2 linked regions of the Canis lupus familiaris genome follow. The protein of the gene in region 1 purifies or fractionates together with the protein of each later gene. This does not show direct contact. Links are inferred from orthologs where the notes say so. Each region holds a gene or a part of one and is shown on either strand. Other genes may lie near its edges. The genes, in order: PTPDC1 and PPP2R2D.

The links.
Region 2: the proteins of PTPDC1 (region 1) and PPP2R2D purify together in Homo sapiens (affinity purification with mass spectrometry; 5 studies listed by BioGRID and IntAct, counting the BioPlex papers as one, with this or other methods). This does not show direct contact. The link is inferred for Canis lupus familiaris from reciprocal best matches to the Homo sapiens genes PTPDC1 and PPP2R2D.

The regions. Positions count from the first base shown.
Region 1 is NC_049222.1:98,671,414-98,675,216, forward strand, and holds part of PTPDC1 (protein tyrosine phosphatase domain-containing protein 1), read right to left. Parts: coding exon 2,624-3,803; intron 1-2,623. UniProt on the Homo sapiens protein: May play roles in cilia formation and/or maintenance.
Region 2 is NC_049249.1:40,496,493-40,500,395, reverse strand, and holds the start of PPP2R2D (serine/threonine-protein phosphatase 2A 55 kDa regulatory subunit B delta isoform), read right to left. Parts: upstream 2,252-3,903; 5' UTR 2,224-2,251; coding exon 2,217-2,223; intron 2,128-2,216; coding exon 2,035-2,127; intron 1-2,034. UniProt on the Homo sapiens protein: Substrate-recognition subunit of protein phosphatase 2A (PP2A) that plays a key role in cell cycle by controlling mitosis entry and exit. Involved in chromosome clustering during late mitosis by mediating dephosphorylation of MKI67.

The sequences.
Region 1 (3,803 bases):
CCGCCCCCCATCCGCCACACAGGGCTGAGATGCTGAGTCTCTCCGAGCCTCGGTTTCCGTCTATGAAGCTGGCCGCAGCCCCGTGGGTGTGCTAAAGCCGCTGAGAGAGGGACTGGCTGGCCCAAAAGCTCAGCTCTCTGCCCCGCTCTGAAACCATAGATGCTGCTCAGGAAGAGGGAGCCTTCCTTTTAGGTTCCTTGGGACAAAACAGAAATACGTACTGCGATGATATAGAATGGTGGATGACATAGCACAAATAAGACAACATTTTCAGGTTACCCCAGAATGAGGAAAAGCTAAAACTTCCAAGTGTGCCCCAGAAAACTGCTGAATGGCGGGCAGCTGCGGCAGACACAGCTCTCTCACCCACCTTTTCAGAGTCCCCTGCAGGCCTGGATGCAGCCAGCCCCACACCCTGAGACTGGACGGGGCGGGGCAAGCTGGCCTTGCCCACATGCCACGTGCTGGGGGTTAAACAGGAGCCCCTAACAGTTTGCTGTGAAGAGACCAGGGAAAAGCAGGAAGAATTTTAACTTCTGATGGGGCTCAGATGTATGTGCTAGTAAATACAGCGTATGCAGCAAGCGCAATCCTTGCACATTTGTTCATTCATGCCTCTGGTATTTTCACAAGACTTAGGACAGCCGGTAGCACATAACCTACTCGATTCCTACAACACCTGTAGTGAGACCCTGATGGCAGGTGTGTGGGTGCAGGGAAGAGGGTGCTTACCCAGGAGCCCAAAGCACAACAGGGCAGACAGCTTTCATTCCCTAGGTTGTGCATGAGTCCAGATGTGGTACTCCTGCCCCCGCCAGGGTCCTTGGCTCTGGGATCCTCTGGTTCCTCTTTATTATTTCATAAAGAAGCCACTATGTTTAGTTGTGTGGAGGCCCTGTTCCCCACGGGTCATACACATTCGGGCCATGTGACCTTGAGCATGTGTCTTGACCCCCCGACCCTTGGCTTTCCTATCTGTGATACTTAACTCATGTGGACTGTGAAGATTCACGAAGGATCTTGGGGTATCCTCTGCCCTACGGGTCCCTGCAACGTAGCAGGCGAGAGGGTCCAGCACAGGAACAGGCTGCACTGTGCTGCCCAAATCACAGTTCACTGGGCTTTTTCCAGAACTCAGCTATGTTTTATTGCTCAAAGGCATATAACAAAATCCAGAAAGTGAAATAAAGGGCAAGCCTATCCAAACAAAAGTGTCATGTTCACCCCCGGAATGCTTTTGTGTGTGAAGTGCTGCAACAGTCCACCATGCTAGGCTGACCTGGGAGGGAGGGGGCCAGCCACATGTCCTCACAGATCGAGGCTGACTGACCCAAAGGCTTGTTCACTTTGGAGTAAGAAGTCACTACATTTAACCATTGGCTCAGCAAACACCTGCAGTTCTGACTTGCAGCATGCACATGCTCTGCAGCCCCACAGCTGGGACTGGGTGCAAGGCTCTGTGGCTAGTATTCCCACCTCTGTATCTGGAAGGTTCTGACCCTCCTGGAACATGTATTGGCCTTGCTTAATTTATGTAAACTACAGAGGAGCAGCCACACAAATAATTTGTGGGAGATGATGGGCTAACAAGTCTAGACTTCACTGAACCAGGCCTCCCCAGGTCAGCCGCACATTTGGGCAGTTGACTAGTCTCTGGTAACTAGGTGTTAAGGCCTGCCTTTTGTCTACACCAGCTGCTCATTCAGGGCAAAGAGCACAACCGATTGAAGACTGTGTTTCTAATGAAAATACACCATAAAAAGGGTTAAAATTTAAAATTTCACGTTCTGGGCAGCCCGGGTGGCTCAGAGGTTTAGCACCACCTTCAGTCCAGGGCCTGATCCTGGGGACCCAGGATCGAGTCCCACGTCGGGCTCCCTGCATGGAGCCTACTTCTCCCTCTGCCTGTGTCTCTGCCTCTCTCTCTGGGTCTCTCATGAATAAATAAAATCTTAAAAAAAAATAAAATTTCACGTTCTAATTTAAGCAAAAGCCAAGAAATGGCCCTGAAGACACAATCTTAGGTAAAACTAATGTACTAGGCACATGGGCGGCTCAGTAAGTAAAGGATCTGTCTCCATTTTGGGGCAGGTCATGATCTCAGTGTCATGAGATTGAGCCCCAGGTCAGGCTCTGTGCTCCTCTCTCTCCCACTGCCCCTCCCCCCACACTCCTCTCACTCTCTCTACATAAATAATATCTTTGACAGCATCCGTCACGTGTTCTGACCTCACTCAACACTTGGATTGATGCTTTGGAAAAGAATTTTCTCTGATTTCACTTGGTCAGTGGTTCTCCAAGCATGGCTCCCTATCAGACTCAGGTTAGAGATGCTCACATCAGTTCCTAAAGCTGTGTGCTGTGGTCTGTCCGTCCATGCACCCAGTGGGAAAGTAGAAAGCTGCCACAGGCATTGGTATCAATGCCCTGCTCCAAGGACCCCGCTAAGTGCTAAACATCGAGCACTTTCACACAGAGATCAAGAAACCCGAAATTCAAAAGTTAGGTATTACACCAACAGGTCTTCAAACTCCTGTAACCCTTGAATTTGGTAACATGTATTACATTTTTGCTCTGCCATATGTATTTCCCACACAAACACAATTAAATGAAATACAAGTACCTGCCACATTTCTACCTTCCTTTTCACCTCCTCCTTTTCTGCACATTCATTTAAACTTGCCAGGGCTTTGGCTGCCAGTATTCTCCTGGCTTCGACACTCAATTCAGACTGCAAAGCAGTGTTTGGAGCATCTGTGGGCAGATCTTTGCTGTTGGGGACTTGAGTGTGTCCAGCCGAGAAGGGTGCTTTGGGGCTGAAGCCACAAGACACAGGGCTGCGGGAAGGGTCAGAGCAGCAGCCAGCAGGAGTTTTGCACTGACAGCGGGGCACTTGCTGCAGAGAACAGCCTGGCTCCTTGGCAATATCTGCACGGTCCGGTAGAGCTGGTTCCCCAGGATTGTATGAACCTGAAACACCTGAAGAGAAGGTTCTGCTCCGCGGAACCTTTGCCATAGTCTCCTTATGGAAAACCGGTGCCCCCTCATCTTTGAGTCCTTCCAGGCCTCCAAATTTAGCCTGATTCCAGAAAGAGAACGTATTTCGGACCAGCGTTTCCTTACTTGGATCAAGCTGCGGAGACTGAGGGGTGTGCCAGTGGCTTATGGGCTTCTGCTGCTCGGGGTCATGGCCAAGCAAGGCCGGGGCAGGTCCTGTCCACGGAGCACTGCCATGCTCCAGAAGCGACTCAGCCCGCTTTAAATCTGAGTCGCTGTAGCTGAATTGCCTTTTCAGGTGAGTCAGGGGCTGAAGGCACTCGACATTCCGCCTCTTCCAAAGAGGGTCAATCTCTTGCTCGCTGGAAAGAATCACATCCTGATTCTCAAAGTCTGTGGCCACCGCGGTTGGGGGGAAGGAATCTGACACGTCGCTGCCCTGCTGCAGCAACTCTTTATCCAGCTGCAGGGTGATCATCTCAGAAACCGTCTTTTCAATTTCGGCAGACAGGCTGGGCACTTCGGCCACCTCTTCTGTCACCACTGGCCTATTCTCGGCTAAGTCCAGGAGCAATTTGCAAATGAGGTGGATAATTTTGGGAATGTGTTTCAGAAGTCGGGCCTCATAACCATGAAGCAGATGCCGCTGGCGAATGAGATACTGCGCTAGAGTAACAGCGTGTGCTTTGGGGTCACAGCAAGAGAATATATTGCGAAGAGGAATCAGAAACTGAGTAAATTCCCTCACACACAGCAGTTGTCCTCGAGTTTGTATGGAATTGGGCCGCTTTGCCCGAACAAATATA
Region 2 (3,903 bases), on another chromosome or scaffold:
AGAGGACTGCAGCATAGTGTGACATCTGCAAAAGGCGTCTGTCCAGTGGACGTGGCCCAAGAAGGTTGTAGGGCCTGGGGCCCGGTACCACACCTGGAAATCTGCACAAACACCTAACCGCTTCTGCACAACGCTCACTGCCTAGAGCACAAGGTCCGGAGACACACGCTAACAAACCACTTCTCTTCTCACTTCCTTTTGGAAGCCTCCCCGTGGTTTGTACTCACCTATTCCACCTGCTGGGTGGAATGACTACACACACAGGCAGCTAACTGCAGGGGAAGTAGTGACTGTCACTCCCGCATCCTGCCATCAGCAGGAAAAGCACCAGTTTCCCGCTGAGCCCAGCTCTACTCCTACTGGCAGCAGGTGAGAAATCCCTGACGGCGCTCTGCTGACCTGGCCCATGCTGAAGCAAAACCCTGCTGTTTTAAATGAAAGCCATCAAATTGGAGATCCCTGGGGTGGCTCAGCGGTTTAGTGCCACCTTCGGCCCAGGGCGTGATCCTGGAGACCCGGGATCGAGTCCCATGTTGGGCTCCCTGCATGGAGCCTGCTTCTCCCTCTGCCTGTGTCTCTGCCTCTCTCATGAATATATGAGTAAAATCTTAAAAAAAAAAAAAAAAGCCATCAAATTGTACACAGTACATACTTCCTTCAGGAGTTATGATTCGAGTCCCCAGAAACAACAAGGAGACGAGATGTCTCTGTGCACTGCACCCCTCCAGCCCTGAGCCCTGAACTGCCTGATGCAGCCTGGCCCCAGCTGTTGTCATGGGAAGCGCCGGGTAACAGGGGCTCTTCCGAGTAGAGCTCAGGCCAGGACAAACACGGCACATGCTGTGAATCTCAACAAATACAGGGTACTACAGGGTCCTGCAGCCAGGTATTGGGGCAACCGCAACCTCCTTGCAATGACCCAACCTTCCTCGTCTCCTGTCAACGTTTCTCCGTCGCTGCTGAGTGCGCCCCAGCTCCTTCACTCTCCCGGTCCACAGCCTTGTCTGCGTGGACACTGACTTTCGCAGCAACCATACAACAGACGCCGCCACGACTCTCAGAACGACGCCCTGGATGTGTTCCCCTGACTGATGACCGAGGCCGACGTGGGTGACAAGGGAAACTCAGAACACATGGAGCAAAGGACACCCGCGGAATTGCCACAAAGAAATCTTACAGTAAGAGGCTAAGCTGCAACCGCAAACCTCTAGAGCCACTCCTGACTGTCCTGGAAGCTCGGGTTCAACATTGGCACAAAGTTCCGCTCGGCTTAGCTCAGTGAAGATTTTCTAAGACCATTTTCAAAGTGCAACATCGCGCGGAAGACACGCCACGTCGGTTACATTTCACTGTTGATTCATTCAGTTTGTCAACCAGTTTTTTTTAGGAAAAGGGAAATCGGCCACGGAGATGGGCCTTGGGCCGGAAACGAGCGAACGAGGGTCGCTTTACTCCTGGTAAAAAAAAACAATGTTGAGCTACAGTTGAAGCGTCACCCCTCTGGCACGGGGAAGACACAAAAAAGTAATGTGCTTAAAATGGGTATAAGTTTTTTTTTTTCCAGTTACATAAAACCACCTACTTTCCCAGCTCAAACCGTATATACATCTTTACGCCCTCCCGGAGGTGCAGCCCGGCCTGTTCCTGCTCCGGGCGCCGTCCGCCCGCAGAGCCCGGCCCGGGAGGGGGCAGGCGGGAGGCGGGAGGCGGGAGCGGCGGCAGGTGCGCGCGGGCAGGGCGGTCCCTGCGTCCCGGGCCCGGCCCCCCGCCCCCCGCCCCCCGCAGGCCCGGCGCCCCGAGCCCGCCCAAGGGCCCCGCCCCCGGGACCGCAGCCGCCCGAGGACCCCCGTGACCTTGGCGCCCGAACACCAGCGCGGCGCCGCCGCCCGCCCAGGGCCCGAGCCCCGCGCCCCCCCGCGCCCGCCGGGCAGGGGGACCCGGGAGGTCGTGACCCCGCCCCGGGAGGCCGTGACCCCGCCCCGCCCCCCGGGAGCCCCGCCCCGCCCCGCCCCCCCGCCAGGTGCGCGGCCTCACCTTCGGCCACGTCCTCGTCGATGGCCCCCTTGACCTGCGAGAAGCACCACTGCAAGTCGTTGCCGCCCGCGGGGCAGCCGCCGCCTCCGGCTCCTGCGGACACACCGGGCGCGTCAGGGCCCCGCGCCGCCCCCGCCCGGGACCCCCGCCCCGCCCCGCCCCGCCCCGCGCGGGCCCCTCACCTGCCATGGCCGGCGGGCGGGCGGGCGGACGGACGGGCGCCGAGGCGGCGGCGCACGAAGGAGGCGGCCGCCGCGCTGCTGCCGCCCGAGCACCTCAGCCCGGCCGCCGCCGCGCCGCCGCCGCCGCCGCCGCGGCTGCCGGGGAGGGATTTTTTTTTTCCCTTTTCAAAATGGCGCCCAATGCCCGTCGCCCCGCTCGATGACGTCATCCCCCTCCGCCTCCTCCGCAGGCCCGGACGGGGCGGGGCCGCCGGGAGGCTCCCCTGCGTGGGCGGGGCGGGGCGCGGCCGCGGGGGCTGCCGGGGGCTGGGGAGCGCCGACCGCGCCTGCGCGAGCCTCCTGCCGCCGGGCCCCGCCCCCCGGGCCCGAGCCCCGCCCCCCGGCCCGAGCCCAGCCCCCCGGGCCCGAGCCGGAAGGGGGCGTCCAGGGCGCGCGGCTGCGGGGCCCCGGGTGGGCGCGCCCTTGGCCCCCCGCGGCGAAGCTGCGGCTCGCAGCCCGCCTCCCTCCGGGTCCCGGGAGGGCTCGAGGCGGCCGCGGTCCCCCGCGCGAGCCGGGCCCGCCCCCAGACGGCCGCGGCCAATGGCAGCGCGGTCCACGGGCAGGGCAGCCAATGCGGGCGCTCGTCGGCTCCGGCCTGGGCGCCCCCGCCGCACCTGGCCACCCCGCCGCACCTGGCCCCGCCCCTCCGCATCTGGTCCCCCCGCCTCACCTGGGCGCCCCCGCCGCACCTGGCCACCCCGCCGCACCTGGGCGCCCTCGCCGCACCTGGGCACCCCCGCCGCACCTGGGCACCCCCGCCGACCTGGGCGCCCCCGCCGCACCTGGCCCCCCCCCCGCCGAACCTGCCCCCCCCCGCCGCATCTGGCCTCCCCGCCGCACCTGGGTCCCCCGCCGCACCTGGGCGCCCCCGCCTCACCTGGCCGCCCCCGCCGCACCTGGCGGTCCCCGCCGCACCTGGGCGCCCCCGCCGCACCTGGCCACCCCGCCGCACCTGGCCCCCCCCCGCCGCAGCTGAGTCCCCCGCCGCACCTGGCGCCCCCGCCGCACCTGGCCACCCCGCCGCACCTGGCACCCCCTGCCGCAGCTGAGTCCCCCGCCGCACCTGGCGCCCCCGCCGCACCTGCCCCCCCCCGCCGCACCTGGGCTCCCCGCCGCATCTGGCGCCCCCGCCGCACCTGGCGCCCCCGCCACACCTGGCCCCCCCCGCCGCACCTGGGCTCCCGCCGCATCTGGCCCCCCCGCCGCACCTGGGCGCGTCTCCCGGGCGCTCCCGCTGCGGGCGGGACTGTAAATCCTGCAGCGCCGAGACCCCGGGAATCCCGTGCCCCCCCACACCGGGCAGCCCCGCCCAGAGCTCACGTGCTCTACGGAGTGGTCAGTTCAGAGGCGCCTTGAGCCCCAGGTACAGCCCTGGGGGGACGTCCGGTGACTCCGTGCAGCTGTGACCCACCCTCTTTTCGTTCATATCTTTTCTGCGGCATCTGGAGGGGCTATTATTCGTGGGCTCATGGACCTGAGCTCATAACTGGTTCAGTGACGGTGAATCCGGCCGTGACCGTGTCACACCGCTAGATGGTCGTTGCCAATCCGCAAACACCTCTCACTGGTCAGCTCCCGTCTGCAGGGTCTGTCGGCACGCAGAGCGAACAAAGTGTACACCTCGGGTACTGACGATAATGGAGGAAAG